2 linked regions of the Lepisosteus oculatus genome follow. The protein of the gene in region 1 interacts with the protein of each later gene in a pairwise test. Links are inferred from orthologs where the notes say so. Each region holds a gene or a part of one and is shown on either strand. Other genes may lie near its edges. The genes, in order: arhgef2a and rpp25l.

The links.
Region 2: the proteins of arhgef2a (region 1) and rpp25l interact in binary tests that used the Homo sapiens proteins (3 or more experiments, as listed by UniProt). The two-hybrid records come from large-scale screens. The link is inferred for Lepisosteus oculatus from reciprocal best matches to the Homo sapiens genes ARHGEF2 and RPP25L.

What each region holds. Positions count from the first base shown.
Region 1 is NC_090722.1:6,216,649-6,224,395, reverse strand, and holds the start of arhgef2a (rho guanine nucleotide exchange factor 2), read left to right. Parts: upstream 1-4,671; 5' UTR 4,672-5,265; intron 5,266-7,747. Other genes in the region: death-associated protein kinase 2, read left to right, coding at 759-848, 1,289-1,375, 1,501-1,581. UniProt on the Homo sapiens protein: Activates Rho-GTPases by promoting the exchange of GDP for GTP.
Region 2 is NC_090705.1:20,166,592-20,174,757, reverse strand, and holds the start of rpp25l (ribonuclease P protein subunit p25-like protein), read left to right. Parts: upstream 1-4,992; 5' UTR 4,993-5,122; intron 5,123-6,948; 5' UTR 6,949-6,966; coding exon 6,967-7,557; 3' UTR 7,558-8,166. Other genes in the region: dctn3 (dynactin subunit 3), read left to right, coding at 594-652, 2,145-2,204, 2,944-3,033. UniProt on the Homo sapiens protein: May be a component of ribonuclease P or MRP.

The sequences.
Region 1 (7,747 bases):
GTGGGTAGCGGCAGGTCACTGCCCCTCTTCCCCTGGGTGAGTTCTTGTTGTTCAGGCGGCAGGCTGGCACTCGCACCCGAGGCTGGCAGAGCCCCCCCCCCCCGAGAGACAGGGGGTCCTGGCTGCTGGGAGGTTGTGGGCCAGTCGCTGCTGTCCCGCTGTCCCGCTGTCCTCTGCAGTGAGGGGCCTCAGGAACTGGTTCCAGTTTTGGCCCCCTGTGGGAGCACACTCTGGAGCCAGGCGTGGGCACAGCTCCGCTCTCTAATAATAATAATAATAACAATAATAATAATAATTCTAATTCCTTACACTTACATAGATCTTTTCTGGACACTCCACTCAAACTCTCAGTGGGGAGGAGAGCAGAGCGATGAAGCCAGTTCAGAGAGGGGGGTTATTAGGAGGCCCTGACTGGTAAAGGAAAGGGGGAATCTGGCCAGGTTGCAGGGATAACACCCCCACTCTTTTCGGGGAACACTCTGGGATTTTTAATGACCACAGAGAGTCAGGACCTCGGTTTTATTTCACATCCGAAGGACGGCACCTTTATTACAGTATAGTGTGCCCGTCACTGTACTGGGGCATTAGGACCCACACAGACTGCAGGGTGAGCGCCCCCTACTGGTCACGCTAACACCTCTTCCAGCAGCAGCCACCCCTCCAGGTACTGGCCAGGCTCACAGGCTCGTGGCTGCTGGGAGTCTCCCTCTCTCCTAATCCCGTCTCCCTGTCCCTCTCCCTGTCCCTGCGCCGCACAGCCGCTGAGCAGGAAGCAGGCGGACAATCGGAGCCGCTCCTCCATCAACATGAAGAGCTTCCGGAGGTTCAACGCGCGCAGGAAGTGGAAGGTGGGTACGGGAAGGCCGCCGGGGCCTGTCCCAGCGAGCAGCGGGGCGCAAGGCGGGGTGCACCCTGCGCGGGCAGACAGACGCGCGGCCACGCGGTTTTCCTGGAGGCCAGCCAACCTGCCGCTGTCTTTGATCTGTGGGAGGAAACCAGAGCACCCAGGGGAAACCCAGGAGGGCTCGGGGAGACTGTACAGACTCTATGTGGGGGTGCCTGTACCCCAGGACCTGAACCTGGAGCCCCAGTGCTGCTCCCCCCCCTGAGGAGACAGCGGCCAGTCTTGATCCCCGCCAGCTGGTCTCTTCAGGGCCTTGTTTAGCTTGGCCAGCGAGTGCAGTTATTATTAACGACTGAGGAGCTGTCGTCTGCCGCCACCTGGTGGCCAGCGGGGGAACTACACTGCGGTTCCTCACACTCACCCCCTCTCTCTCCCTCTCGCCAGGTCTCCTATAAGATGGTGTCGGCCTGTAATCGACTGTGCCACCTGCAGCTGCTGTGCAAGAGCACGGGGAAGGAGGACCAGGAGCTGGTAAGGGGGAGAGGGGATGGGAGGGGCAGAGAAAGGAGAGAGTGGGGTGGGACAGGAAAGGCAGCAGGGGTGGTTGTAGGGTAAAAGAGGGGTGCTGACTGTCCTGCTTCTGCTGTCCACCTCAGAGACAGTGCGAGAGTGACCAGGAGGACGTCCAGACCAAGCCTGCCTCCCTCATCCGCCGGCGCCTCAGCAGCAATTCCTAGGGAGCAACCACAAGGGGGCGCCACTGGGCTGCCTCCAACCCAGTCTGGAGTCCTGGCTGGCAGGTGTGGATGGGCAGAGACTGTCTGGGCCGAGCTCCAGCCCTGGAGGATCTGTGGACCAGAGGGACTACCGAACTTCCTCCCTGAGAGTCATGGGGGGTGCTGTAGGGCAGGTTGGGGGTTTCTGAGCGGACAAGCCCAGAAAACCAGTTATTATGTAGTATTTCTTTAACAGTACCATAGCAAGGAATCTCCAGCCTTGGTCCTGCAGAGCTCCTCTGATCTCTCAGGGTTTATAGGGCCAGCCAGTCACCTTCTTCATCTGGACCAATTAGTGTAATTAAGTAATTAAGAACCAGGCTGGAAGAGGCCAGAGAGACAGTAGCTCTGCAGGAGCAGTGAGGGGGTCTCCTGTATAACATCCGTGGTTCAACATACTGTTGTCAAGGCAGCACATGTGTTAGTGTTTTGTTTCCATGTCTGTGCAATATGGGTTGTCCCAATGAAGGAGTTCAGGGCCCCAGGGACGGAGCTCCGGGGAAAACGGCAGGAAGAGGTTCTGGATCCGGCTCTGGCCCGATTTCTCCCTGCAGCGGAATACCAGGCCAGCCGGCTGTAAAATCCAACATCAGGAGCTTTCATCCACGGCCGAGCAGAACGAGACCGGGGCCGGAGCCGGGTTCGACAGGGGCCTGACTCCCGCGAGTGACGCCCTGCAGTCTGCCGGCTCGTTACTGCTGAAGGGCCGCAGCTTCGTTAGAGGCCAGGGGGACTCGCTGACCCGCCGCGCCTGCTCCGGGCCCAAGAAGACGGTCTCGCCCGCCTCACCCGAGAGCTCCTGCAGGGGGCGCTGTAGCCGGCTCTTCCCCTGGCAGCTGGACGTGAACCGGGTCAAGGACGAGCCAGCGGATCTGGAAGGAGCTGGACTCTTGGGGAGGACGACTCCCAGTTGAAGGGTGTTTTATCAGAGCTGCGAGGGGGCGCTTCCTGTCCCCTGTGCAGGGGAGAACACCAGGCGGCTCTGGAGCTGAAGACAGATCTGGCGCTGTTGTTGGAAAGCAGAACGCTTCCCAGTAGGCAGAGCCGGAGTCAAACTGGCGGACTGGATCTCCTCACGTTCCTGGGGCCTAGAACAGGGGTCTCATGCCACAGTCCCGGGAGCCCCAGGCCAGTTAGTCTGGCAGACCACCCTGAGTCACCTCCTCTGTTTTTAAAGACTGTCCAGTGCAGTGAGCCTGGGGTGTTTATCGCAGATGATCTCTGAGTCAGGACAGCATGGTGCCATTCAGGGCTCGGGGACCCTCTTTAAGGAGTTTGCATGTTCTCCCCATGTTCACATGGGTTCTCACCTGGTGTTCGTGATTTTACCCTGATCTCACTGGGCTTTCCTGCTCTGTACTGTGTTTTTACCCTGATCTCACTGGGCTTTCCTGCTCTGTACTGTGGTTTTACCCTGATCTCACTGGGCTTTCCTGCTCTGTACTGTGTTTTTACCCTGATCCCACTGGGCTTTCCTGCTCTGTACTGTGTTTTACCCTGATCTCACTGGGCTTTCCTGCACTGCACTATGCTTTTACCCTGATCTCATTGGCTTTCCTGCTCTGTACTGTGCTTTTACCCTGATCTCACTGGCCTGTACTGCTTTGTACTGTGTTTTACCCTGATCTCACTGGGCTTTCCTGCTCTGTACTGTGCTTTTACCCTGATCTCACTGGGCTGTACTGCACTGTACTGATCTACTGCAGTGCTTTTGTAACAAGAATGATTCATTTCAGAAAAAGAAGACTTTGTACCTCCTTGCAAAAGCAGGCCTGCCTTGCATGTTTATACAGAAAAAATAATGTTTTAGTTTTTTTAAAGACCTGTGTGCATAACCGATTTTAATAAACAGTTCTAGTTTTCCTCTGTCTCAGACATATTGATATCTGAATTTCATGATGGAAAAACTTTAAAGCCACGTCCAGGAGTTAAACTTCACCTCTGTTCCTCCTGTGAGTTGTAGAAACAGAGACTCTGGTTTCCTCACTGGTGCAGTTTGATAACTGCACAGAACACACAGACCAGCGTGATGTTAAGTGCCATATTTGTCTAACATTATACACCTGGAGTACTGACTCTTACTGGACACACTGTACACACACACACACACCTGGAGTACAGACTCTTACTGGACACACTGTACACACACACACCTGGAGTACAGACTCTTTACTGGACACACTGTACACACACACACACACACCTGGAGTACAGACTCTTACTGGACACACTGTACACACACACACCTGGAGTACAGACTCTTACTGGACACACTGTACACACACACACCTGGAGTACAGACTCTTTACTGGACACACTGTACACACACACACACACACCTGGAGTACAGACTCTTACTGGACACACTGTACACACACACACACCTGGAGTACAGACTCTTACTGGACACACTGTACACACACACACACACACCTGGAGTACAGACTCTTTACTGGACACACACACACACACACCTGGAGTCCTCACTCTTACTGGACACACTGTACACACACACACACACCTGGAGTCCTGACTCTTACTGGACACACTGTACACACACACACACACACACCTGGAGTCCTGACTCTTACTGGACACACTGTACACACACACACACACCTGGAGTACAGACTCTTACTGGACACACTGTACACACACACACACACCTGGAGTACAGACTCTTTACTGGACACACACACACACCTGGAGTGCACCCCCACTTCTCTGCCCCCTCTCTTCCCCTGCACCCCCTCTCCTCTCCTGCACCCCCACTTCTCCTGTGCCCCTTCTCCTCTCCTGCGCCCCCACTTCTCCGCCCCCTCTCCTCTCCTGCACCCCCACTTCTCCTGTGCCCCCTCTCCTCTCCTGTGCCCCCACTTCTCCGCCCCCTCTCCTCTCCTGCACCCCCACTGATCTCCCGCCCCACTCCTGTACAACAGCAGGTGAGAGTCGCGGACACGTGGCCGCCGATCTGGAAACGTGACGTCGCCTCTCGCGCGCGGCGCTGCCCCTGATGAGCTGACTCGCTGACCCACAGAGGCGCGCGCGCACACACACACTCGCCGCTCAGCCGAAACTCCGGAGCGCGACGCTCTCACGCTCCGGCCACAGGTGCAGCTCGCGGACCCGACCCGCCCGAGGATCATAGCTCGTGAGGAGGAGGGGGGTCTGTGGAACTGTCTCGCGTGGAGGAATGACAGCGACGGCCGGCGAAGAGCGGACCCGGGAGAAGCGGAGACCCGCAGGTCCGGCCCGCGGCGGCAGGTAGCCGCGCCTTTGTGTCCGGCTGTTGCGCGTCTATCCTCGATTTCTCCGCCGACTTTGTTTCTGGGGATTCTGGCGGCTGACCCGACCTTCTGCTCTTCGACAAAGGGAAAAAGGAGGAAGAAGAGACCAAGGAAAAGAGTTTTGTCTTTTTATTTTATTTTTTTTTTTAAAAAAAAGGGAAGGAAGAGGAGCTCGCGCTCACCTGGCCCGAGCGGCGAGCACCGCAGGCGCGAGACTGAGGCTCGCGGGGGGGAAATGTCCGGAAAACGACATTAAACCCCTGAATCATTCAAGGAGAAATATTCGCCCAAACAGCAAGAACCCGGAGAAAAGCGTGACTTCTGGACGGAGACGGAGCAGCCGTCACTCACTCGGGCTGTAAGTCTGTTGTTGCTGGCGGGGGACGGGTCACGGCGCTCTCACCCTGACGGGTTTATAAGCAATTAGGCGAGTGAGCTTTTTATTTCCTGATTGGAATTCATTTTGAAACATAGCCACTTCATCACCTTTATCACCTCTGTGTCTTATTTTGCTAGATTAGAAGCCTAAAGCATTTTAGGGTGTGGAGGAATGTGGAAGTTGTTTTTCAAAGGATTCGTCTCAATGTGACGATACAGAGGAGCTGGACTGAGTGTCTGTACAGTGACTCTCCAGCTCTGATGATGATGAAGGAGTGTTCATGTGAAGATACAGAGGAGCTGGACTGAGTGTCTGTACAGTGACTCTCCAGCTCTGATGATGATGAAGGAGTGTTCATGTGAAGATACAGAGGAGCTGGACTGAGTGTCTATACAGTGACTCTCCAGCTCTGATGATGATGAAGGAGTGTTAGTGTGAAGACACAGAGTGTTGTATTATTGCACTTTGTCAGCAGCAGATATGAAAAGCAGTTCCGTGTGCCTGGTGTGTGCGTGGCCTGTGGAGACAGTGAGTGTACCGCTGGGGTGGCTGACAGGTTCTGGAGTGTTTGCCTTTTTTAACAGTTTCAGTTCTCCTGTCCTCAGCATGTGGAAGTGCCTTATAAATGTGGGAGTGAGTGTGTGTGTTTTCAGGGTGTGTGTGTGTTTACAATCGACATGTAAACAACAGCGCTGCAAACAAGGCCAGCAGCCAGAGGGGCAGAGAGGGAGAGGAGGAGGAGGAGACTTGTTGACTTTTAAATTTCTTCGCTAAACTAAGTGCAAAGGAAATAGACTCTTAAGGCATGTATAGATTTAACACGACAACCCAATATACAGCAGCCCTGTATACAAAAGCATTATACACTGTACAGTACAAACCAGTTTCTACACAACAACCCAATATACAATCAGTCCTGCATACAGCAACCCTGTATACAACAACACTGTGTACAGTACAACACACTTTCTACACAACAACCTAATATACAATCAGTCCTGCATACAGCAACCCTGTATACAACAACACTGTGTACAGTACAACACACTTTCTACACAACAACCCAATATACAATCAGTCCTGCATACAGCAACCTTGTATACAACAACACTGTGTACAGTACAACACACTTTCTACACAACAACCCAATATACAATCAGTCCTGCATACAGCAACCCTGTATACAGCCGCCCTGTTGACGATCGATCCAGCGTGAGCGCTCTCTGAGAGAAGGAAAGTGAAAGAGAAGATTCCTGCAGGACAGGATCAGTCAGAGTGACACGAGACCAAGTTCAGAGGCGCTGTGCTTCCTCAGCCACTCCATTATCTCCATCACTGTCAGACTGGTTCAACTGGCCACCTGCTCTCTGTGTCTCCACACCTCAGCCTGCACACAGTGAGGTCAGGGTAAGAGCACAGTACAGAGCAGCAAAGCCCAGTGAGATCAGGGTAAGAGCACAGTACAGAGCAGTACAGCCCAGTGAGGTCAGGGTAAAAGCACAGTACAGTGCAGTACAGCCCAGTGAGATCAGGGTAAGAGCACAGTACAGAGCAGTACAGCCCGGTGAGATCAGGGTAAAAGCACAGTACAGTGCAGTGAAGCCCAGTGAGATCAGAGTAAAAGCACAGTACAGTGCAGCGAAGCCCAGTGAGATCAGGGTAAAAGCACAGTACAGAGCAGCAAAGCCCAGTGAGATCAGGGTAAGAGCACAGTACAGTGCAATACAGCCCGGTGAGATCAGGGTAGAGGCACAGTACAGTGAGTAAAGCCCAGTGAGATCAGGGTAAAAGCGCAGTACAGTGCAGTAAAGCCAGTGAGGTCAGGGTGTGGGAGGGTGAGCTGAGGCCCAGCCTCGCTGCCTGTGAGCTGGCGCTCGCTGGCCCATTGTTGCACCGGTCACACCTCCCTCTCAGGAATGTCCTGACTGACTGCTGTGTGGCGGATTTCTGCCCGGACAATAGACACTGTTTATTCTGCTCTCAGAATAAAGAGGGAGAGAGGCAGGGAAAGTCTGAGAGAGAGGTCTAGGAAGTCTGAGGGAGACAGAGATAGATTGAGGGAGAGAAGGAAAGAGGATCAGAGAGAGGGAGAGGGTGAGGAGCAGGGAGAGAGAGGGAGAGGGTGAGGAGCAGGGAGAGGCCTGAGTGTGGAGAGTCAGGTGTGGCTCTTTGGACCTGGGCGGTGTTTCCAGTCAGTGTTGATCCAGAGGGCTGAGTGAGCAGCTCATTGTCAGCGGCTGAACATGCCACCTGAACACCTGTACACACAGCACCTGATCACACAGGCTAAACGCCCGAGCACACCACCTGTACACATTGCGCCTGATCACACAGGCCAGATGTACCACCAGAGAGAACAGACTAAACCCATACAGTGGGCTAAATTCACCACTTGAATTTATAGCCGGAACACGTAGCTGAATGAACAATCAAAGACAGCTGAGCACACAAGGCAACAACA
Region 2 (8,166 bases), on another chromosome or scaffold:
AGTCCAGTATAGTGATGAGGACACTATACTGTAAACGGGCACCGTCCTTCGGATGAGATGTAAAAACGAGGCCCTGACTCTCTGTGGTCATTAAAAATCACAGCGCTTTTCTCGAAAAGAGAACGGGTGTAACTCCGGTGTCCTGGCCAAATTTTCCATTGGCCCTTACCAATCATGGCCTCCTAATAATCCCCACCTATGAATTGGCTTCATTACTCTGCTCTCCTCCCCACTGATAGCTGATGTGTGGTGAGCGTCCTGGCGCACTATGGCTGCCATTGCATCATCCAGGTGGGGCTGCACATTGGTGGTGGTGGAGGGGAGTCCCCATTACCTGTAAAGTGCTTTGAGTGGAGTGTCCAGAAAGCTGCTATATAAATGTAAGCAATTATTAATTATTATTATTATAATCTCTCAAATGTGGAAATACTGTACCACTTCTTGCTTTGTACAGTGTTAGAGGAGAACCCCATGTGTTTTGTAAGAGGTCTTTGTGGATCTTACCCTGGCTGGTTTCTGAGAGGTTGCTCTGTCACTGTTGCCTGTGTTGTCCCCTCTGGGAGTGTTCTGTAACATGCCTGTGTTCTACACAGCTGTCCCTGACCACGCCACCAAGCTGCAACGCCTGTCACAGATACACATCAAACAGCAGGTATGAGCTCCTTGCCGCTAACTCTATCTCTCTCTTGCTGTCTATCAATCTGGGCTCTGATTTCTTTCTCTGTAATAAAGTGGTTCAACAGCAGGTAATCCTCTTTCTTAGGAAAGTGGAAAGAATAGGCTCACATTACCCCTATGAAGAAAGTATTTAAAGTTTTTTGTATTTAACTTAGATACAGTGTGTCTTCATTCACGAACTATCATGATTGCTTTTCAAAGGCAAAATGAACTATTTCTCACTCAATTCCTTTTCAGTGATAGTCTAACCTTCACAGGGCAATTAACCAGATAAAATTGCTTACATATCTAATACTTCTTGTAAGACAGCAAGATGAATTTATTCATTTTCAAGGGTAAGGTGAAATAAAGCCAATGACAAATTTGTGTAAAAATATTGGGGTGGCCAATCGATAAAGGCTTGAAGATTAAATGTATTTTTCTCTGTGTATTCATGCACACGCATTTATTCTATACAGTATCCTCCAGATGTGTTAACACACAATGATAACGGAACAGCAACACCATATGCAGTAAGAGCATAAATTATAGATTGTCTTGCTTAAAATACTTCTGAAAATGATATGGTGTAATTATAATAGAATTGAATAGAGCAAAGTCATACCATACTGGTCATAAATAATTGATCCCAGAAAACACAAGGGTCACATTGCTTTGCATCAATAAGCGTTAATTGAAATAAAATTCAACAAAGCCAAATCCATAGTAACATTATGCTCTTTGCAGCGAAAGCCTCCAGAATTTAGTAGTAGCTGCAGCGGCATCATGGTTAAGGTCAGAGATCCCTTTGAATGCTGCATAGAAACAGTTATCGCCCATTTTGTCAGTATAAAGTCAGTACTTTCATCACTTTCCACTGTAGTGTCAATTATTAAAAAAATTTAAGTGTACTCATAGCCTTAAGGGCAGCAGTCCTGCCAGGAAAAGGAAACACTTGCTACTGTAGATTGTAAATGGTTTAGGTGTTTAACAGTGTGGGTTTTGTGGCTGCCTTTTCTCTGGTCTCTGGTCGATACCTCTAGCCAAGAGAGCCGACGTGTACACTAAGTGGCGTTCTTGTAGCCTTCAAGCAAAGATAAAAGTGTACGAATTTCGACATGATGGTTGAGATCTCCATAAGAGAGTGGAAACGGACGTCCGCAGTCTGGCGACTGGTGCCGTGGCTCTGATGCAAACACAGGGAGATTGTGTGCGAATGTTATATAGGGTTTCTAATGAAGACCCAGGTGGTGCTGATATACATTCTCACGCTGAACTAATGAGAGAGGGGCTGGCTAGAGGGCCCTCTAGTGGTGTACAGTGGGCAATAATAATCTGAGTGAATTTTACTGTCTTTTGGAATTAAAGTAATATTAAAATTACTGTTTTCAACATTCCTACTACAAAATTAAATCCCTTCTCTTTGGTAATCCTGGAATATCATTTGTTTTACCTCAAAACCTCAGTCGTTTTTTTCTTCTCCGCAGGACCAGTGTGAAACTCTATCTGAGGAAGTGAAGAAGCAGTTTGAAGATTACAACAAGATGGTATCCTTCTGACACTACTGCTGCTAGTCCTACTACTTTATGTCTCAAATTGTCATCACATGGAAAATGTGTATCAACAGTGTGGTGCGCATTTTGTATTAACATCTGCAAGTCAGCCAGATGTGAAGCAGACTAAGCCAACTTTCAGTTTCTGTTAATTGACGAATGGGAAACAAGAATAGGAAAACAGTGAATTTCTTTGGATAATACAAATCGCCAGTACATTCCAGTTGTGTTGTAATAATTCATAACACATCAGTTATGTGGTTAACCTTAATGATAAGTGTAGTAAGTGTAAGGCATTTTAAACGATTTATCGTAGATCATTGATATAAAGGAAGAACAGTGTTCTTGTTACAGACCATTGTGGCACTCAACTAGTTCCATCCTCCCACTGTATTTACCCTTTTATCTGATGCTCTTTTTTATATCCATTTTCCAGTTTTAAATCCAGACATATATAATCTTAAATACCCGGAATTTTAGGATTAGTCTTTTATGACGAACTGTATCAGTAGCCTACTGAAAATCTTAATATACCAGATTGTGTGCTCTGGATTTTTTACTGTTGTTGCTTGTTCAGAGAACTAACTAATTAAGCAGGCTATTCTAAATCCATGCTGACTGCCAACTAGAATCCCATTTCCATTTAGATGTTCCAGTTGTCATTTCCATAGCCCTACATATAATATAACTAAGACATACTGGTCCACAGTTATGCTCCTTGACTTCATGCCAGATGTTCCTGCTGTCTAAACAATTTTCTCAATGGGACGAGATGTTGAGGCAGCTTGAAAATGCCAGTCAGGTCAAGCCAGTAGTGGAGTGAAGTCCTTGGCCTGGAAGATGCCAGACACACCCTGACTTCAGAGGAGAGATGGATCGCCAATGGAATCTCTTACCTGTTTCACCACATGCCTCAGATCACCCTTCTCCCTCCCTTCCTGTAACTCAGAAGTCCCAGAAACCCCTCTTCCCTACACAGTGTATCCAAGATGGATTGACTTAAAGAACCCTTTGACATTATAGACATTGCAGCTGCAGTGTTTAAACAAACATACAATATCCAACTTGGAACGCACTGGTAGTACCAAATACTTTAAGGTTATAACTTCCATCCCATTTATCCTACTGGCACAAAGTGAATATCACGCTACTTACGATATAAGGTGTAGGTTGTTTTTGCAGAGCCTATCCAAATGTTATGTTTCCCATGGTCTCCATGGGGCATAGAGAGGGTTTGTGGACCAGGTGATTTTCATGGAGGGCTCATGAAGTAATCGCATTGTCTGCCACCAAAACCTCCAACTTCTGCTCTGGACCTTCAGTGCTTGTTAGTCCTTATCAACACTTTACAGTCACATAGGAGCTTACTTTCTTCCATGTTCTGTAATGTTACAGTTTTGAAATATTAAAATGAAAAAAGGGTCTCTACAAGAAATGAGAGATACCTGTGTTTATAAAAAGAACACAATAAACTTAAATTATTAAACTACACATGCCGTTTTTGTTTTCTTTCACTATCTAAAGAGATGAGTAATTGGTATTCTCATTTATGCCACACACAGTTAATTATCCTAATTTAATAAGAGTTTCCTAATTTGTCAAAATATAAAAAAGTTAAAGACAAATTGGTTAATCTTACTCATTTGGTAAATAGTAATAGTAAGGTTATTGACTTCTCATTTGTGAAGCATCCCACATCAGTTTCCACATGGTTGGGAAGCTTGTTCTAAAGCCCTAGAATATTTGTGTGTAAAAAGGCACTTTCTGTTTTCAATAGAAAATGTTTCCATTTCCACTTGTGTACTCCAGTCAGTCTTCCATAACTGGTGTACCTCCAAAATTATTATATAGTAATATTGAAATTGTATTTTGATGAAGGTGTAAATGTATGAAGATAATTGGTTATCAAATGTTTCTTGTTTGTCATGTTTATTGTTGAGTAAGACTCATAAAAGAGCCTAATTTAATTTAAAAAGGTGCTGTCTTTTGGATGAGACGTAAAACCGATGTCCTGACCTCTGTGGTCATTAAAAATCCCAGTGCGCTTCTCAAAAAGAGTAAGAGTGTTACCCTGCTTACCCTGGCATCCTGGCCAAATTTCTCATTGACCTTTACCAATCATGTCCTCCTAATAATCCCCATCAATGAATTTGCTTCATCACTTTGTTCACCTCCCCACTGATAGCTGATGTGTGATGGGTGGACTGGTGCACTGTGGCTGCCATCACATTATGCAGGTGGATTGGTGGTGGTGGAGGGGAGTCCCTACCTGTAAAGCGCTTTGAGTGGAGTGGCCAGAAGAGTGCTAAACAAATGTAAGGATTTTTTTAATGCTTTTGTATTGAAATGCAACCAATATGACCTTAGCAGAAAAGAAAAAAAGTTCATTGTGGAGGTGTATGATGCAATGCCATCCTCACACGAATCAGTTCCTTAGTAGTTGATTAAATATTAAGAGCAGTTTAAACAGAAATAAGGGTAAGGAAGTTGAAAGCCTTAACTCCTATAATGCAGATGAGGGACACACTACCCATGAAGTGTGGTGTTTGGAAACTCGAGATTGAGTAGTCGAAAGAAGCAAACAGACCATTTAAATTAGCGCTGAAAATTTAGAGTTTAGCAGACGGGAAGAGCAGCAGGCACAGTATTCACAAGAACTGAGTAACCACTTAGTAGTAAACGCCCGAACACCAACACCTGCGCCGCGACGGAAAGGGGTGCGAACTACAATTCCCAGCAGCAACGTTGGTATTTTCCAACGCTTTACAGCAGCTGTTACTGCTTGACGCTTAACAAAGTATTTTTCGGCAATGGTGATGAGCCTTACTGTAGTGTGCTGTTCGAATTAAATGACAGTAAAAAAAGTACTATTTTTTGTGTTTTTTTTAACTACAGCGAGGATCCCTGCCTGTGTGAGTATAAATCTACATCTCCAGTACAATAAGTCCAAAGTGTGATTTGATTGCTGTACTTTTTACGCGCTTTAAGTGCTTCAATAATCTTGTTCCGAACATCAGACTGGGCTGCAGGCTATTGTATCAGTAGTGAGGGATAGATCTGTAATTTATAGCTGAACAATTAGTTACAGAAAAGTGTTGCGACCTTAGGGTCGTGCTGCGTTATTTTATATCAGCACAACACACGACTAAATAAGTTATGAAATGAAATGCTCCGCATATCTCTGTTGCCCTCTAGGTGACGCCCACTGCAGTCACTTAATTTTGTTTTATTAAAAAATATATTGTACGGATGCCAGTTGTCCACAAAGGGGATCTGTATTTTGTGCACTTCTAGTTTCACACTTACCGCGTGACTGTTGCGGACATGGAAAAAAAGAAATGCACTTACCGAATAAACGCTCCACTCCTTTATGTCATGTTAAACGCTTTATCCAAACACTTAATTCATTCACTATTAATATTATTGTTATAGTCCGATATGCACGTCAACTCAATAATAAATGTGTTTACTCTTAATAAATATACACACCTATCGTGTACATAGCATCACTTGAATGTTATATTGCTTTAATCAAACGAGGTGATACACATACTGTTTTTTGACACTGCTGTATCTTTTAAATACCTTGACCAAAATAGATACAAATTTGAGTTAAAAGTAATAACTAAGAGTGAAACACGAAAAAGGGTGTTCAGTTATTGAATTGCAACTTAACAGTGCTTTTAGTCAAGAGTGTAGATCTGTGAAATAAGAGTTGTTGATATGACCGTCATGATGAAAATAACTTCTTTAACAAATTTTGCAATGAGTGCCAAAAACGTTGTCTGTACTATTTGGTCTTTATGTAATGGCACTACTGGTAAAAATAGGAGTGTTACCCTAGTGTCCTGGTTAAATTTCACTCGGGAGTTGCACTATCTGGTCTGTTTAAATGTCCTCCTTAATTGGCTACATTTACTCTGCTCTCCTCCCCACTGATAGCTGATGTGTGGTGAGCGTTCTGGCGCACTATGGCTGCCGTCGCATCATCCAGGTGGATGCTGCACATTGGTGGTGGTGGAGGGGAGTCCCCATTACCTGTAAAGCGCTTTGAGTGGAGTGTCCAGAAAAGCGCTATATAAGTGTAAGCAATTATTATTATTATTATTATTTCAGATAGTGAAGTAATGGCTGCCACACTTCACCCAGGTTGGGCTGCATTCAGTTGCGGTTGAAGTTGGTCCACACCTATATTTACTGCTGTTTGGGTTCTTCTGGATGATTAAAAACGCAGACATTTCTAATTCTTCACTAGCCTTTAAATATCTAAGCTACTATCTAAATTCTGTTTTGCTATTAAGTTAGGTTTTAAACATGGGAAATTTTGCTTTATATTTAACTGTTACGCTGCACGTGTTTCAGCTTTGCTCTAGCACAGACGACAGTGGAAGTTTAAAGATCAAGGAAGGGAGAAAAGCAAATGGGTCAGAAACAACACTCCCAACTTTCACAGAGTTTTTACTGCCGTTTTTGATCCTTCCCTAAACTTTTCACATATGTCCTGCGTACAATTTAGTGTCTTCAGTAGCTTTATTCCATATTAATAGAGAAAATTAATTTGTTACAACAAGGATGAATTTCGGAAAAGGAGGATCAGATGTTCTAATTGGGAACATAAGCATGCAAGACCTTCCTGAAAGCAAGAAACAGTGATGGTCTCCAATAATAGATCATTGTGAATATAATTGTGCTGAAAAGGAAAGGCACTGACAGCCCTGCTCCTTTATTGTCTGTGCAGTTGTGAGGCCGCCCAGGCATGGAGAATTACCGCAAAGCGAAGACGATGGAGCAGCCCTGCCCCTGTCCCTTCCCTGGGCTGCCCGCCGGCACACCTGAGATGAAGGTCAAGGATGGCAGCAAGATCCGCAACCTGATGGGCTTCGCGGTGGGGCGCATGGAGAGCGAGGCCACGCGGCACATTGTGTTCACCGGCTCGGGCAAGAGCGTGGCCAAGACCATCACCTGTGTGGAAATCCTGAAGCGGCGCGTGCGCGGGCTGCACCAGGTCACGCGGCTGCTCTACAGCCGCACGCAGGAGCTGTGGGAGCCGCTGGAACCGGCAGCGGGCCTGGACGGCCTCACCGTGCACAAGAACGTTCCCGCCGTCTGGGTCCTGCTCTCCAAAGACCCCCTGGACGCGACCCAGGCAGGGTACCAGCCGCCCGGCTGCTTTGACACCCTGTGGGCCCAGGCCGCAAGAGAGGAGGGGGCTGCGCAGGAGCCGCGCAGGAAGAGAGGCGGGGGCAGCGGCAGAGGGAAAGGGGGTCGACCCTCCTCGGGAGCTCGGGGGCGGCGCAGCGAGGTGTCGGGGAAAGCGCCAAGTTGGAGGGGCACTCACCACGAATGAGGGCATCCGGACAACTATCCTGAAGACGCCAAGTTCCTAGCCAAAGAGGTTCATGGGAGGAAATCTTCACCAGTTCCTCTAGAGGAAGGATATGTCGATAGCGAGGACAAAGATCAGCAGGAACTTGAATTAGTGGGCATCTGAACTTCGAAGGAAATATTACATGTTTTGTTTGAGAAGCAGAAGATCTGTCTCTGTGTACCTTAGATCTTCATGGACTACTTTCCCATTTACAAGTTTAAATGGACGAGTTAAAAGTGTAGACGGATGAAATTTGTCTTCTGCCTTATTTTTATATGTTGAACAGAGAAGAAGGAATTTATAAGAATGTTTTAAGTTAATTCAAGTGATGCAATAAATTATATAAATACAAACTCAGGTGAACACTTATTTTTTCACTGGATTAAAAGAAGAATTATGAAAAACTTCTGAGTATTTTATTAGCAGAGATATTTCCAATAAAACATATTAATGTTGTAACTTGTCACATGGATGCATCAATGCAATTAATAAAGTTTTCAGGGAAATTACAATGTTTTTGTGGCAGAGGCACTGACATGTTACAGGAGAAAGAGACAAGAGACAAGGCAGTTACTTTGCATTGTTTAA